Linked DNA regions of Arabidopsis thaliana. The protein of the gene in region 2 interacts with the protein of the main gene of each other region in a pairwise test. Each region holds a gene or a part of one and is shown on either strand. Other genes may lie near its edges.

The links.
Region 1: the proteins of ABCI14 (region 2) and AT4G24310 interact in a protein complementation assay, tested with the Arabidopsis thaliana proteins (one large-scale study listed by BioGRID).

The regions. Positions count from the first base shown.
Region 1 is NC_003075.7:12,594,717-12,602,696, reverse strand, and holds AT4G24310 (transmembrane protein, putative (DUF679)), read right to left. Parts: upstream 1,895-7,980; 5' UTR 1,798-1,894; coding exon 1,156-1,797; 3' UTR 971-1,155; downstream 1-970. Other genes in the region: AT4G24320 (Ubiquitin carboxyl-terminal hydrolase family protein), read left to right, coding at 1-399; AT4G24300 (Peptidase C50, separase), read left to right, coding at 2,484-2,590, 2,671-2,851, 2,939-3,046, 3,676-3,717; AT4G24290 (MAC/Perforin domain-containing protein), read right to left, coding at 4,882-5,574, 5,722-5,888, 6,199-6,385, 6,473-6,541, 6,706-6,907, 7,157-7,395, 7,578-7,841. UniProt on the Arabidopsis thaliana protein: Involved in membrane remodeling.
Region 2 is NC_003070.9:6,841,537-6,850,401, forward strand, and holds ABCI14 (trigalactosyldiacylglycerol 1), read left to right. Parts: upstream 1-4,801; 5' UTR 4,802-4,934; exon of another isoform or gene 4,935-5,006; 5' UTR 5,007-5,092; exon of another isoform or gene 5,093-5,194; 5' UTR 5,195-5,275; coding exon 5,276-5,322; intron 5,323-5,412; coding exon 5,413-6,418; 3' UTR 6,419-6,586; downstream 6,587-8,865. UniProt on the Arabidopsis thaliana protein: Required during embryogenesis. Permease involved in lipid transfer from the endoplasmic reticulum (ER) to plastids, and necessary for thylakoids formation.

The DNA.
Region 1 (7,980 bases), on a different chromosome or scaffold from region 2:
AGTGATCAGGCTGAGAAGTGGGCTGTCGCAGTACTTCATGAGCTTTTGTTCCTTTTAGTATCTAAGAAGACTGAGACAGACAATGTGATTTGCTTAGGGGAGTATTTAGGGTTCGGGATGAGGTTCAAGAAGGCTTTGGTGCACCACCCGGGTATATTTTACATGTCGCACAAGATTCGGACCCAGACTGTTGTTCTAAGGGAAGCTTACCACAAAGTTTTCTTGCTGGAGAAGCATCCATTGATGGGGATCAGACATCAGTACATTTATCTTATGAGCAAATCAGGGAGAGGGAAGAAACGAGACTATGTTCATGGAGTTGAGAGAAGCAACCGAAAAAAGAGAGTAATCAAAGCTTGTGAAGATGGTGAAATTTATGCACATAACAGCAGTCTTTGATCAGAGAGGATAGTAGTAGTGTCGAATTAATGAGTTGCTATGACTAGGGCGAGTAAGGACAGCTTAATCGAGTATGGAATTGGTTGCTGATATGGTATCATTGTGCAAGATTTTGTGTTTGAGTCCTTGACCGACTCTGCCAGCAATTGGAGTAAACAGAACTCAAGATCTCGCATATTACCTAGCTAGCAACGGTGTTTAGCTAGTGGCTACAGAGTCTCTGCATTTTGCAAGTAAGTAAAACGGATGCAGAGAAAGGAATTTATAAACCTCCACAGGTTTTCTTATTTCCTTTGGGAAGACGCATGTATGTCTCAAATAAACATGGCAAGAGATGAAAGTCAGAGTAAACAACATGACAAGTGTGAGTCTTACAAGAACTGTGTTGTCCACATGCTCTTTTGAAAGGTCCCAACCTGGATGGTCCTCTCAGTTCAGCCACTTCCTGATCAAACAATTAACCAAGTTTTTTTTTTTATAGCTTTCAGTTTATTGATATCGTGTGTTAACTCAATTAGACAAGGCATCTTAAGCATTTCACACCTCTAAGTGTATTATTAGTTTATGACCAAGCAGAACGTATAATAAGATTGCTTGCGTAAATAATTGTCCACTAAACAAAGAACAAAATTAAAATCATTATTAGAATTGGAAGTAGATGAGACAAACACGAAATGATCACATGCACAAGCGAATTAGTCAACCAAACATTAAATAATCAAATTGCTTATATCTATTTGGAAATAAATAACAAATCTAACGACGACCCCCGTCTCCGGTGACCGGATATCCAATACCGTGCCTTCTCGCCGGAAAAACCAAGAACAACATGCCACAGATAACCCCAACACCCATTGGAACAATGTCCAAAACCTTCTTGGTTTCTTGCTCTGGCGCCGGATAAAAACAACTCACGGCGTTCTTGTCCCTCAGAGCCACCGCACCAAACACAAGAACCGACAAAACGGCGTGGATCCAGTCAATAATTCTTATCCGGTATTTACTAAGATTGGGTAAACCCAAACCGTCAGGGTCAGGGTAGTCGAAAACCCACATGCCCTTACGAGTAGCAAAACCGTAATAAACGTTACCGTCTTCAGCCTTGACGCTGTCAGTGAAGGAGCTAAGGAAGCAGGAGATGGAGAGAAGCGTGAGGAGCACTATGGTTAAAACCTGGGTCGGGTAATCGCATGAACCATTGGATGTAAAGACGGGTATGAGGAGCGTGAAAGCTAAGAGCGTTCCGGTTGGAAGGAGATTTGCCAGGTTTGCAGCTGAGGTTAGCGTCTGTGACATGACTGCATGTTGAGATGTCTGCCTCCTTAGCTGTGGAACAGACTCCGATTGCTCTTGCGAACTAGTTGGGTTTCTCTGCGTTAGGGAAGATGGTGAAGACATATTCTTTCGTTTTTCTTATTTGTTTCGAGAATTAATGGATGATTATGATCATAATATATACCAAGAAGAACGTGCGATTAAGTGTAGAAGATGGTTGTTGACGTGATCAATGTTTTGACTTTTGAGAAGTCAATGGGTCTCTTTTGATTCCTTCTTGAGAGTTGAGACTTTCAAAGTTGATTATATATTACTCTCGTTCTTACTCGTCTCCAACTTTAAACAAAAAACTTTAAAATCGATTTGCATGTTACGTTAACTTTAAAGAGATTCGCACTCTTTGGTGGGAACTAAAAAAGTAAACCTAATTCCACTAAAAAAGGTCTCCCGTTGGATCCATCTCGCAGCAATTCATCCCCTTCATCATCAAATCCGTGTGTTTCCTGCATAAACGCCTCACCCAAGGATCCCCTAGGGATTTGTTCCGCGCGTATGATTTCTGTTTGGAATGCTGCGAATTGGTCTCCTACGATCCTCTAGCCGTCCAGCTTCAGAGAGTCGGGCTGATTCACTGTTACCAGGCCTGGGGTTGGTTCACTCACGCCTACAACGATGGTTTTAGAGTCCTTGACCACCTTAAAGGACCCGCCTACGACGATGGTTTTAGAGTTAGAGAACCCGAGTCCAAAGGTGTACCGTTTTTACCAGATCCCGAATTTGGAGGAGCTAAACTGGCAAGAGTCCAACTCATGGTTGTGGCGTCCATCGTCAGGTCTGTAGCAATGTCGCGGGATATGAACGATCTCCAATACTTGAGGGGCATTTCTCTTCTACAAGGGCTAAAACCCTGGCTAAGGTAAATAAAACCGTGAGACTTATGCTTCCCTTGCTGTACAAGTCAACAAGTTTCACTTCTTCTTCTTCTTTTTTTTCTAGGTATTTGGATGCCAATGAACACCATAAGTTTCTCAAGCTGGTCTTGTCAGATATGGGAGAGTGTGCTCTCTCGGTAATTAGAGAAGCAGAGCGTTTCGATGAGGCTTTTGTGCATTCTTTTTGCATCTCTACACTAGAGGAATATTCTGTATCCCCGTTGCCAAAATGTCATTTTTATAAGGTGACTTTCCCAAGTTTACATGTCCTTCTGTGGCTCTGTCTCTGTCTCTCTCTCTCGTACGCCTTGACTGTCTTGTTTTGTATCCAGTTCTCCCGCCAGGTACTTTCTTTACTGTTTCCGTCCAAGGAGGCAAAAACATCACTAAATCTTAAAATTATGATGTCTGTGTTGAAATTTGTGGCAGGTGAATTCCAGGTATGTGCAAAAGTCTCGTGTCCAGATTAGTCAGTCATTAGATGTTTCTAGGGCATTATTATGTTTCTTGTGGCACTCACTGCTCTGCTATGTTGAAACTCTCATAGCTTATTCTCTCTCAGGTTGAACCTAAAGCAAATTGGTCGAAGCTTCTTGACTTAGTCCAAAGTTTTTTTAGGTGAATGTCATGCGCATCGTTCTCTTTAGATAAAACATGAGCTCCAGAAAATTAAACTTGGTATTATTATTCATGGAGTATTAACACATTTTGAATGTAGATGCTATCATCTTAACAAAAAAAACTCAATTTACTTCATCTTGAATGTTATCCCAAGAGTTTTTTTTATTGCTTTTAGGTTCACTTACTGTTATACATTCATGCTTACCCAATATACCCTAACAAACTCTCGTGCTAAAACCAATATAAAAAAAAATCAGAGAAGTATGCCAGCTCATAAGCCTTCATAACCATCTGTCGCCTTTATTTTTATATCACCGTAGTGTTCTCCTAGTTCCGGAGGATCTTGGCGCATCTTAAGTGCATAGCCTTTCTTTTTGGCATCATCGTTAGACTGTGATAAGACTGGAAAAAATTGTCTCTCCTCCCTCCACTCCTCGTCTTACACCAGAACCAGCAGTCTTCAAGCAGAGTTCGATATGCAGCTGTTTGAGTGATGCCCATTTTGATTCCTCATCATTATTTGGGGAGGAGCTTTCGAGATCAGTTTTCTTTAATTCAACTTCTTAACATAAACTTCTCTTTTATCCAAAAAATACACAAACTTCTCTTTGTTGAAAAATAACACATAGTTCATTTGGTACTAGGTAACGACTCGTGCATAATATATTCAAAATTAATTGAAAATTTTGTTCTGTTAAGATTAATATATTTAATGTATGCATTATAGTCTATAGATGGATAGTTAGTGAAACAATATAAAATTTTTGAGTTTGAATATATTTTGAAGACTTGCCAAATCTTAGTATTGGAATTTAACTATAACTGTTATTATTACCAAAAAAAAGTATTTTGTTGTTTTAAATGTATGAATTCATATAATGGTTTGTTTATTTAGATAAATATTCTAATTAGATAACATAGAGATTTCATAATCTCTTTTATAATTAGTTGTAAATGCTAAAAATAATTTATTTAATCATCTTTCTATTAATTTATGTATAAATGGAATGCCAAGTAAAAAGTGATACAATTGTTAGTCATATAATTTAGTGATTATTTCAATTATAACAAAACGATGCATTTTAATATAATATATATTCAAAATATCTATATTTGGTTATAAAAATTCGAAATATTTAAATATGGTAACTTTACATATTAAAAAACTTTTGTGTGTTTGACAATTGAGTTAAGAAAATAAACAGAAATAATATTTAAATACTTGGAAATAAAAGTGTTTGGTAATAGGGATTAGAATTTTTTTTTGTTTTAAATGGTTGAGGAAAATTGTGAGCTTGGCCACATAAGGACTAGAAAAACTTTGTTCCATTATAATCTCCTCAAGGGATAAATTTATAAACAGAAAAACTTGATTAAATCTACCTGCTGATCTGATTTATATATTTACTAAGTTCTTCTTGTTGTATTTTTCTTTTGCTGTACCAAAACTTGTCAATGTCACTATTCAAACCCATAAATTTGATATCCACGATCCCAACTTCTCGTGTATATAAGTTTTACAGTGGCATATTAGACATCCACACCATTAACATTACAAACGACAAAACCTTAAGAATGTACACGTACAGACATAAACATACCACTCATCCTATTTTCTCTCATTGTCTCTGAGCCACACCACCACCATTTTCTCTTAACCTTCATAGGCTTCCTCGATCACTTCATCTCCCAATATTGGAGTAAATAGAGAATACTTCACCTTCAATGAGATTTTGCCTTTCTCCACCAATAATCTTGCACCCGATACAACCCAATACCCGGGTGATTCTTGCGGCCCTCTTGTCATCTCACTTGTATCCACAAATTTCAAAAGTTTTGGAGCTTGCGTGGGTACTGGTGGTCCACCAGGATATATAGCCGAATTTATATTCACGTCTGCAGGTCGTGGTGGTGGTTTTTGTGCTGCAGTGAAGTGATGGCTTATTAGCGTTGAGATGAGTCCTGATTTTGGAGCAAAGCCTACCGCTTCATCCCATTCAGAATTCTTTACCAGTGTTGCTCCCACAACTCTAGAGAAACAAAGGCGCAAGAAGAGCACGTTCTTGAATCCGTGGCTCTCTACATGAAGCTGCGCACCTGTTACTACAGAAAGATCATCATCTGATTCGACAGGCTCTGTGCAGACGTGAGAGTAGTTCTTCCAGTTTACTTTCTCATAGTATCGACGGTCATGAGACTCTTGCCGGATACTTCTATTTAGATCGTCTTCGAGCTGATATATCTTGGGAAGAGAGGAAAGGTGTTGCAAATGAATTGCCAAACGGTTGCTTCTTCTACCCTCTAGGTAGAGCCGCATGCCAGTGATTGGCCTCTTACCAACATCAACCTGAAACCAGACAAACGAGAACGAGCATCTCAGGACTGGAGGACTTTAAACAAAATCTAACCACACAGGGTTAATGAGATCAGACTTGACTGACCAAATAAACCTGCATCAGCAAGCTACATATTCAGGGATGAAACAAACCCATACCGGAGTGGTATTCACGTATAGCTTAGGTCCAAAGAAACTGAATTGCAGAGACGCACAACTTTGTTGCTTTCGTTGCGGACCAAGAGGAAGTTCACTAAAAACGGGTGCCCACTGCCTTGGTAGCTGAAACTCGAGAAACTGATGCAGCTCTTCAATTGGTGGCTTATCTACAAATCTCAGTTAATGTTGGATTGTTAACCCAAGGCTTTTCGTTTATAGTATGTTCATCTTACGCGGATCATATAACAGATGGCAGAAAAAATCATCTTCGACTTATAAAAATACTATAATTTTCAAGTTATGCTCCTATGTATCAACCTAACTACCCAGCTGGACTTGGAGATTACGCAAGATTTGGGATTATACTATTCTAATTTTACCTATATCAAACTTCTAATCTAAAGGTAAAAGAAACCACTAGTATGAAGAATAACTCCAGAAAGAAATGCACAAAGCGCAAATGATTTATAGGCTTACATCTTAGATACAGATTTATGGCATGGCTTAAGAATCCACTTCCTGGAACTCCATTAAGCAAAGACGTAATTGGAATAAAAGACATGGAGATAACATCAGGCTCCATCTGAACTGTTTGCAGCCATTCATTATGCATTAGATTTCTGTTATCGTTTCCACCTCGCCTCTTGCACATGAAGACATAGTCCTACAAAAAACATGTAACTCCTGAGAAAAGAAGCTAACACACAGATTACATGTCTTTATGATAAGCTATGGTACCAATAGAAATTACCTCCTTATTTGCATAAGAGCCCAAAGAACTGGTATCTGCAAATCTCAGGCGTTGCTCCTTTGTTTCCACCTGAAACCAGGAATAAAAGACAGGAATTACAGACTTAAGAGTCGAAACACTAGATTGTTAGTAGAAATTCTTCTATATGTCAAATAGCCAAAACATTTATGACATGCACAAACAAGAAAGTTTTGATGATGGGAAACAAAAATAATAATAACTATTTCACAGACCTTACTACTTGCTTGTACTCTTTCTGAACCCGTATTATGCACTACGCTAGCTTCCACGAACCTCTTATCTGCCACCTCTTTTAACCTTTTCTGCAGATCCTCAGGCTGAAGTTTTGAGGAGTGTTGTTGTTTTGCATAAATCACATCTTTTCCTCCCATCTTAACACTAACAATTATATGCGTCCCATAAATATCTATAAACCTGGTAAAGAAACATTTGACTAAGTGTTAGTCATAAACCCTCCAATTACTGAAGAAATATTACTAATGAAACAACGCCTACAACAAGTAAGACGTAATTCTTAAGTCATACAAAAACAATTTCATCCAGTGAAAAGACATTGGGCCAAGGAAACGACCATCGAACAATTTCACAGAAAAATATGCAGATGTAAGTAACTTTCCATAGACTTTACATACATACAATCCTATTATGAAGACAGAACATCACCTTGCCAATGCAGCAGGGTCCCATGTTGATGGAACAGCCTGCTTAACATGCTCACGGAGTAACACTTGAGATTTGTCCAAAGCCACCGAGTATAATGAGATGAAAACCCCATCAAAAGCAAGGTTTTTGGTGTAGGCTGCGTCTTTCTGCCAACAGCTCGAGAATTCAAACATGGCATTGAAGAGACCTGACGGGATTTTCCCAGCCAAAGATAGTTCCTGGTTGAACTGCTCTGCCATCTAGCAAACCATAAGAAAAATGTTAACAAAATGTTAATAACTAAGGCATCCAAAATGCTATGAAGGAAATTTACTCTCTAGAACAATGTACAAGGAAACTAGATAAAGGCTTCAACAGATGGCGATCTTATCCACTCAAAACCTACAACAACACAAACCAATACTTTTCAACGAAAAGTTACCTGTTGGAAAGGAAGAATATCGGACCTAAACCGCATACGCTCCCCTTTATCGCATTTGATAGACTTGGAAACATTAGGAATGGAGATTCCACCAGGTAAAACAATCTCACAATTATCATCACCTTCTTTAATGTCAAGTAATCTAGAATCTTTGGAACCTCCTTTGCAATACTTCAACCGTAAATCAATAGCTAGATCATAACCACAGCCAATAGATCCAATCGCAACTTCAGCTGCTTTAGAAGCTGGTAGCCGAAGAGCCATGCTTCAGTACAAGACTTCTCTGTTGGCCAGACCAAAATCAAAGAAAGAGAATTAGAGCCCAGAATCAACAACACACAAAAACAATCAAAAGTCACCACTTTAGATATTTCTGAGAATTGCTGACACAAAGTGTGAATCT
Region 2 (8,865 bases):
CGTTTTCCAACCAAACTACTCCATGAGATAGTTTAAAGGTTTTATAATTATAAAAATCATATATTTGTATCTGATTCAAAATTCATTAGATCTTTTATTGAGATACCTCTTATAAATCCGTGGTATAGTTAAGTAATTCCTGACCATATCATAGTCTATAAACTAAAGGAGAAAAGGTTAAACAGACACCTTTTAATTGGCGTGAGAGTGAGACCAAACAAGCAAATCCACTCCAGGGACTTTGATCACATGGAACCGCGTGATTTAGCGGCGCAATTTGATGTTAATTAGTATATAGCGTCATTTGGTATTTGATAAGACCAAAATCGACAAAATTTTAAGTCAAAAGTCAATAGTGAACTACATTCAAATGGTATATCTGACCCCCAAGAAAAAAAAAATCATGGATAGCTATTGTTAAATCTTCCTTGCTTGTATACAAAAATCGGTCTCAATAAATATATTACAATCAACGAGAAAATCAGATGCAAAACTAATTGACGTAACCCAGATTCATGAGTCATGACTATACAGTTTTGTCTAACTAAATAAGTATTGATGTAAAGTGGTATGTTTAGTTCAGTCCAAAAGTCACGACTCAACTGAGGTTTTGACTTCTCGTAGATGCAACAAATGCATCGTTATCAACCGACCATTTAATATACACGACATATATAATGAAACATTGCAAATTTGCAACCATTAATAAAATTCAACACATTTCATTATGGGTTTCGAGTTACGAATTAGCAACAACTACGCTTTAATTATATCGTTTATTAAAAATAAAATAAAAAATACTAATTAACGGACCGTGGATTTTTTTTTTGTGTGGACTCTATAATAAATAATTGTCTGTATTTACAATTTTCACAAATAATAATATTTTTTGGCAGAACTGAAACAATGAACCCCTAACTTTGATGACTGGATCTTCAATGATTAAACTAGTTGCCTAATCTCCCTTTTGTCTTTTCTCAACAAATTTTCTTTATTTTTGTTGCGCTCGATGAAAACCTAGCTTTGTATTGTTAATTTAACAGCCATTGTTATTTTTACTTTGACTTCCCATTTATTAATTTTAATTTATATATATATCCCACTAAGAATTTTTTTTATTTCGGAATGACTGTCCTATAAATTAGAATCCTAGGCAATGAGATTGTACTACATGATCAAATGATGAAAGTTCCCAATGTTTTTCGAACCATAGGGATCAACATTATAGGTGGTATTAGACATATGAATTTGTAACAACGAGGTAACCAAACTTATACTACTAACTTGCAATTTTTTTGAACAGCGAACTTTGGTGATCCAAACTAACAATTTACATATAATATTTCCGCAGTAGTTAAGTGATGGTTTAGAGATTTTATTTGCTTGATGCTTTCAACTTCATATGCAAAAACTAAATATATTTAATAATTTTTTACCAATTATATTTTATAATATATTATCTATTAGTTGAATCATTTGTAGTTAATGATATTTTTATGTAAAAAAAAAAAACTAAATAAGATTTTTGTGATTTTTAACAAAAACCTTAAACGTTTATTAAAATGAAACAGAGGAAATACTATTATATTGGAGTTGAGAAAAAATATTGCGTGCTCAGAAATAATTATGGCAAATGATACTAGCATACAAGGTAGTACAGTAGTGTTTAGTGGTTAAAATAACAAATGATTATTAGAACATGATCTTACTATGATTTGGCAATAGACTCAATACACACAGAAAGGTAAGTAGAGAGTGCATGACTTGTTTGGGGAAATTTATGGACGAAGAGAAGTCCCAATTATTATGTCTTTCACCCTCGAGCCTTGTGCTTACCCTTCACTTTCTCTCTCTACCTATTCATCTCTCTTACAGGATAAAACTAGAAGTCAATCATTATCCTTGTTAGCTAGTGTATCTACTCCTGATGGCAAAAACAATTTACTAGTATTGCCAACTAGGAGTACGATTTTTCTTGTTAATTGGCTAATACTGATGGCAAAAACAATTTACTGAGATATTGCTCCTGGCTTAGTATTGCTCAACCAAAACTTTAGATGAATACGAAAGTACACATCTCGATTCTCTATCGCCTTGTCTAAGAGGATGTAAAATATTCTTGAAACGAGAGCGTTTGTATTCAGCAAAAAAACATAGCCAAAATTAGAGTTTCTTGTTGGTAAAAAAAACAAATATGAGTTTAAATTTGGATCAAGTAATGGTTGTCCAAATAGTTGTTGTCATTTTAGTCTAAACTATAAATTACTTTTCGTTGGATACAATTTTTTAAGTGACCACAACGAAATTTTCTTTACCGGCGATATATATAGACTCTAGAAATTAGTTGTCTGATTCAACCAAAAAATTTTCCGAACTAAAAAAATATATATATAAAAAATTTTGAGAATGATTTCAGTTCCGGTGGAGCCATATTGGCTCCCGTATGATGTTAAACGACAATAATTGGATGTAGATTTGTTAAAATTAACATAAGATTGACGCTAAGGTTCCTCATTCCTAACCATCAGTTTGTTAGCTTAAAGAAAAGTGATAATTACGCTCTTTCCGCCTAGAATGGCTTTTTGTCTTGTTGAATATATAAAGGAATGAAGTGACTCAAAGCTTCGTGGTAAAGTTAAGATATAGAAACTTTATTCGTATACACTATGTAAATACACGCAATATCTCAACTACCCTTTAATAGTTGTGTTATCAAATAATAAAATATATAATATGAGAAAATATGTTAAACACCTTCCTTTTCGGTCTTAATTAATGATCAATTTTGTTAAAATCGTTACAAAAGGGATAAGAAACAATCACCAACAGAGACAAAAATAACATTACCAACACATATAATACAACTCTCATTAGTGAACACTCATGTAACCAAAACTGTTAACCATTAGCGTATGATTGAGAACGATCCTCCCTCATAAAATATGTGAAAGTTATCTAAGGGAATGTTAAGATATAGTTTTTGTTTTATTCAAACACCGTTAGTTAAACTTGAAAGCATGCATGCTAATGTTTGGGATTCGATCCTATGCGAGAGATCAATCTTAAGAGAGGTTAAACTTCACATTCAATAATGTACCGGGAATGGAGACTTCAAGAATCATCGGCTTGATAGACCACTAATAAAAAAATGACAAAAACTAGAACATCCAAATATATGTCGTTCGAAAATGTAATTCCGTAGCTAGCTTATACAATTCTATACACAGAAGATATTTCGAATATAGACACATATAAGATGTTGCGGTAATGCAATTTTAAGTGTAGTTGGACATGGATTGGTGAGAAAAGTAAAGTGAAAAAAAGAAATAATTAAGGAAGAGGGGGCTATAGCTCTGAAACCCTAGACGAAAGCAACACTGCATTGCCAATAGTAGAAACAGTGCGATCACGAGATTCAACTCATTCCTACTTTCTTACTTCTTAGTATCCACTCCACTTGTAGTACTAGCTAGCTCCCTGCCACGTGGTCCTCTCCTCTTCTTTTAGCTTTATGGGCCTTGTAAAGCCCGCGGGCCCCATCTGCCCATCCCATGCACATGCATCACATTATGCTTTCTCTCTATCTACGAAATTACGAATATAAGTATACGTATAGAACACTTTTTACAATAACCAAGGGTCAAAGTTTTCTCGAGTCGGAGGATATGAACTAAATAGTACATTGTCTACCAGCGAAGCTTGAACATGAGATCTTGAGACACATTTCCTTTGGAAGGTACTGAATTGAGTGTTCATAGCGGTTCAAGGAACTCGATTAATTTAAAATACCTGAATTACCATTTTTTTGGGGATTCGTTGTGCTTTTTTAATCAATCTACCGGAAATGAAGACAAGTTTTGCTAAAAACGTAACACTTGAATATTGTAAATTTGTAACATAAAACTCTAAAACCTTAACAAATTAATACCTCTAATTAAAATAGAATACTCATAAAAATATAAAATGTAAAAGATACAAATATTGAATATCTTCTAATATAATTCTAAGATGCGAAAGATATAGTAGTCGAATTAAAGCAACCAATTTCAGCGTTTCCTTAAACTTATATTTCCAAAATATCATCTAGGACAGTTTGTTTTTTTTAAGAATCGAGACCCTCTACTAAACTCTTGCATTCAATTTGGTAGAATCACGTTTTGTGTAGGAGAGAAGTAGTGCTTTTGGTTTGTAGTGTAGAGTAGGGTAAACGTGAGTATATAAAACGTAGAGAGGCATATATTATACAGAGAGTGTGCTTTTAAAGAACGGACCGGCTGAAGAAAAAGATAACGTTGTTGTCTCCGTAAAGGTTACCAAGTATCACTGTCACGTGACCACCACCATTCCTCTTTTCACATCTTTCTCCTTTCGATATTGGTTATATTATAGTTAAGTTAGCATTTAGTTAAATTTACTATATATTAGTAAGCAATGAAGGGGATATTAGTACAAATCTGGACATGAAATGTAGGCCTTTATTTGATTGATTGTCTTGGTATAAACATTTCATATAATAGCTTTGTAGATTTATACAACCAATTAAATAATTAACACTTTACATATACAGAATAACATAAAATGTTTAGATCATATATTTTGTCATTTTGGATCAATAGAGAAAAACACTCATTGTTATTTTCTTATTTATACTTTTCTGTATCAGTCTATGTGTAAAGTACAAGTGGACCTGCCGTGAATGGCATAGAGCCCACGCTTTACTTGTAAAAGTATATTGGGCTTTACGGCCCACGGACCAATTTATGTTTTGCCATTGGTTTTTTTTTTGTTTGTTTTGTTGGGAGTTAAACCCACACATCTTCTTCGCAACTGTTAGTTGTGTGTGTTGTTGTTGTTGGCACTGTGCCACTTTCTCTCTCGATGAACCCTCTCAAGCAAGCTTCTTCGATCTTCCGAGCTTAGTTTCGTTTCTAAATGTAAGTTTTCAAGTTTTTGTTTCAGTAAGAAGATTGATAGACCTAATTATTTGTTCCCCTTCTATATAGTAGAGATTTCACCTAGATTGGTCCGTACATATCTTATACTGGGATTCGAATTTGGCTGCCTCAGAGTCAGAGATTGATTAATTGATCAGGTCACCGGAAACTTTTTGTCTCGATTTGGATCTCTTATGCAAAATCTGTTGTGTCCTAATTCTATTTGATTGTAAATCAATTTGATTCTGGGTTTATTACAGATTCAGCTGTTGAAATCGTGCTTATTGCTACAAATTGAGAGGCACTAAATCAGTGAGGTCGTAAAGAAGAAGGCAACCACAATGATGCAGACTTGTTGTATCCATCAATCGTTTTGTTTCCCTCATAGGTATTTTGTGTTGCCATAAGTTTATAAGCTTTCTCATTTGCTTCATTGTCAGAATATGTTATTTTGGATTCTTGAATATTAATTTTGCAGAGTCTTTCCACGGTTTGATGCTTCGATTGGTATTAAGCCCCCAAAGCTTTGTCAAGTTGGTTTCATTGGAAAGACTCAATCTTATGGGATTTCAAGTCCGATACGGCAAAGAAGATTATATGTGAATTTGAATGCTAATGATGGTCACCCATCCATGTCTATGTTGGAAGAAGAAACCTCTACTGAAAACAACGCACCCAGTCAAGAAGCCGAGCTTCCGTTCAGCAAATGGTCACCTTCTAAGTACATATGGAGAGGTTTATCAGTTCCTATTATAGCAGGACAAGTCGTTCTCCGGATTTTAAAGGGTAAGATTCACTGGAGAAACACTCTTCAACAGCTGGAGAGAACCGGACCGAAATCTCTAGGAGTTTGTCTTCTGACTTCTACATTTGTTGGTATGGCTTTCACAATCCAGTTCGTTAGAGAATTCACTAGACTAGGTCTAAACAGATCCATTGGAGGTGTCTTGGCTTTAGCCTTCTCTAGAGAGCTAAGTCCAGTCATCACATCGATTGTTGTTGCTGGACGAATGGGAAGTGCATTTGCAGCTGAACTAGGGACAATGCAAGTCTCAGAGCAAACTGATACACTCCGTGTTTTAGGAGCTGACCCAATTGATTATCTAATCACTCCAAGAGTCATCGCCTCGTGTTTGGCTCTACCGTTTCTGACACTCATGTGTTTCACTGTTGGTATGGCTTCAAGCGCTCTGCTCTCTGATGCAGTTTACGGGATCAGCATTAACATAATCATGGACTCGGCTCACCGAGCACTTAGACCATGGGACATTGTGAGTGCCATGATTAAATCTCAAGTCTTTGGAGCTATAATATCGGTAATTAGTTGTTCTTGGGGAGTAACCACTACTGGAGGTGCTAAAGGTGTTGGAGAATCTACAACTTCTGCTGTCGTCATGTCTCTTGTCGGAATCTTCATCGCGGACTTTGTGCTTTCTTCCTTCTTCTTTCAAGGTGCTGGAGATTCTTTGAAGAACTGTGTTTGACATATTATTTTCTGTCTTCTTTTGTTGTGGTTTAGATGGGTTTATGTAAATCAGTTGTCTTAAATTGAGAAAGTAACATCATTTTAGAAAGAACAGAAAGATTGCTATATTTCTATTCCAATAATGATACACATTGAATAATCTTGAACTATATAGTTCATCGGAAAATTTGCAATCAGTATGGGCGGAGTTAAAATGTTATGCTATGAACTTATGACATAACATCTTATTTGACCAAGCAGATATAACATGGTAAAACCAAACTAGCTTACTTGACCAATAATCCAAAAAAAATAAGCATGAAGTTTTGAAAAAATGTTGAAAACTGGAAAAACTTGGCCAATCTCTTGACTTTTCTCTTCACCTGCCGCTTTGCATACGACTCGACGCTTCCTCAAAATGAACCATCTTTGTCCTACGAGGGTACGAGCCTGTCTCATCGTCTCGAGCCGCCAAACCAGCTTCTATAACCAAAGCTTCAAGATCAGCTCCACTAAAATTCTCACAACGCCTAGCTATAGCATCCAAATCAACACTTGTGTCTAAAGGAATCTTCCTCGCAAGAGATTTCAGAATCAAACCTCGTTGAACAGAGTTTGGAAGAGGTATATAGATATGTTTCCCAAACCTCCCTGGTCTTGTAATCGCAGGATCCATCATCTCCGGTCTATTCGTTGCACCAATCACAAACACTCCATCTCGTTCTTTTCCACCGCTCATTTCATTGAGCAACTGAGTCAATGGTCTTTCAACAACCCAAGCACCTTCTCCTGACCCACGTTTTGTTGTCAATGCATCAACCTCGTCGAAGAAGATTATGCACGGTGAACACATCCTTGCAAGGTTAAATAGCTCCCTAATCGCTTTCTCGCTATCTCCAACGTATTTGCTCAAAGCTCCGGTCCCTCGACACGGATAAAGTTGGTTTCTGCTTTGTTAGCCACGGCTTTGGCAACTAATGTTTTACCACAACCAGGTGGTCCATATAGCAAAAAATCCCTCCCTGAACAGAACTTGAATCCCTCGCACTCTTCTGGATATTTCAACGGTTTGATTATATCGCTATAAAACTCCTTTCTTATATGATCAAGACCGCCAATATCTTCCCATGTTACACTAGGAGTAGTAGAGAATCCTTCTCTTGTTAACGAAGGTTTAAACTTTTTCAATGCTTCCTCAAAATCCGAGATAGTGTAGAAAAGTTTCTCTATCACTTGTGGTGGAAATGGACATGGCTGCATACTCAACAAAGAATCAATATCAGTTCCAAGTTCTGATCCTCTTGATTTCACTAATCTCTCCATTGCCACATTTGCAGCTTCCTTAACCAAAAGTGCTAGATCCGCTCCAACAAATCCTGAAGTCTTACGAACAATCCTTGCAATATCAAAACTTGGGTCAAGAGGACGGTTCCGTAGTATCAAAGTAAGAATCTCTTCTCTTGCCTTCTCATCTGGCATTCCGAGACAAAAATCCTTGTCGAATCGTAGTGACCTTCACAAAGCTGGATCAAGAGCTTCAGGTCTATTGGTAGCTGAAATAACGATAACATGGCCGCTAGTTTCAGAACCAGACTCTCTCATCTTTTGAAGCATATACTCTTGGTCCATACAATTCATCAACTGTGTAACAATACGAGTCTCCATACCCTTTTGCTGATGATTATCCCTCTTTGACGCAATCGCCTCAATCTCATCGATAAAGATAATCGAAGGAGCAGTTCTATACGCTTTAGAGAAGAGTTTTCTTATATTCTCTTCAGATTCACCCGAAACACCAGAAACAACCTCAGAAGCAGAGATCATATGAAAAGGAACACCAGTTTCATTAGCAATGGCATGCACGAGCCAATGTAGACTTGCCACAACCAGGTGGACCATGAAGTAAAATCCCAGAAATTGGCTTCTCTTGAAGACGTTCATGCATTTCAGGAAAAAGCAGAGGATTCTTTACTCAATTCGTTAGGTCATGCAATATCTCCTTTAACCCACCAAGATCCTTAAATTTCTTACCTTTTTTATTCTTATTCCCTATCTCTAATTCCACATCTGAAACCCTAATATGTTTCCTTGTATCATACGAAGCCCTAAGGTTTTCATTTATCAAATCAAACTGTGGAGTTGACTTACCACTATCATCTAATACATTTCCGTCCCCACGGCATCAGACCACGACGATCCTGAAGGTGAAGCTGTGGCGGCTCTCTTCCGTGATTTTGATCTTGCATTGCTTTCTTCTTCGTCTTTGTCGCTTACATTTCTGGATTGAAGGGTTTGGTTGACGTTAAGTAGCAGAACATGACGACTCAATCGAGCCCATTCACGGTCCTTTGAACGGAGCTCATTGACTATTTCCTCTGCCGTTGATCCCTTCTCAGATGACTGGAGAACTAGGTTTTGAAATCTCCGATTTGAAACGCCGCCGCTCCGACCTCTTTTCACCATCGT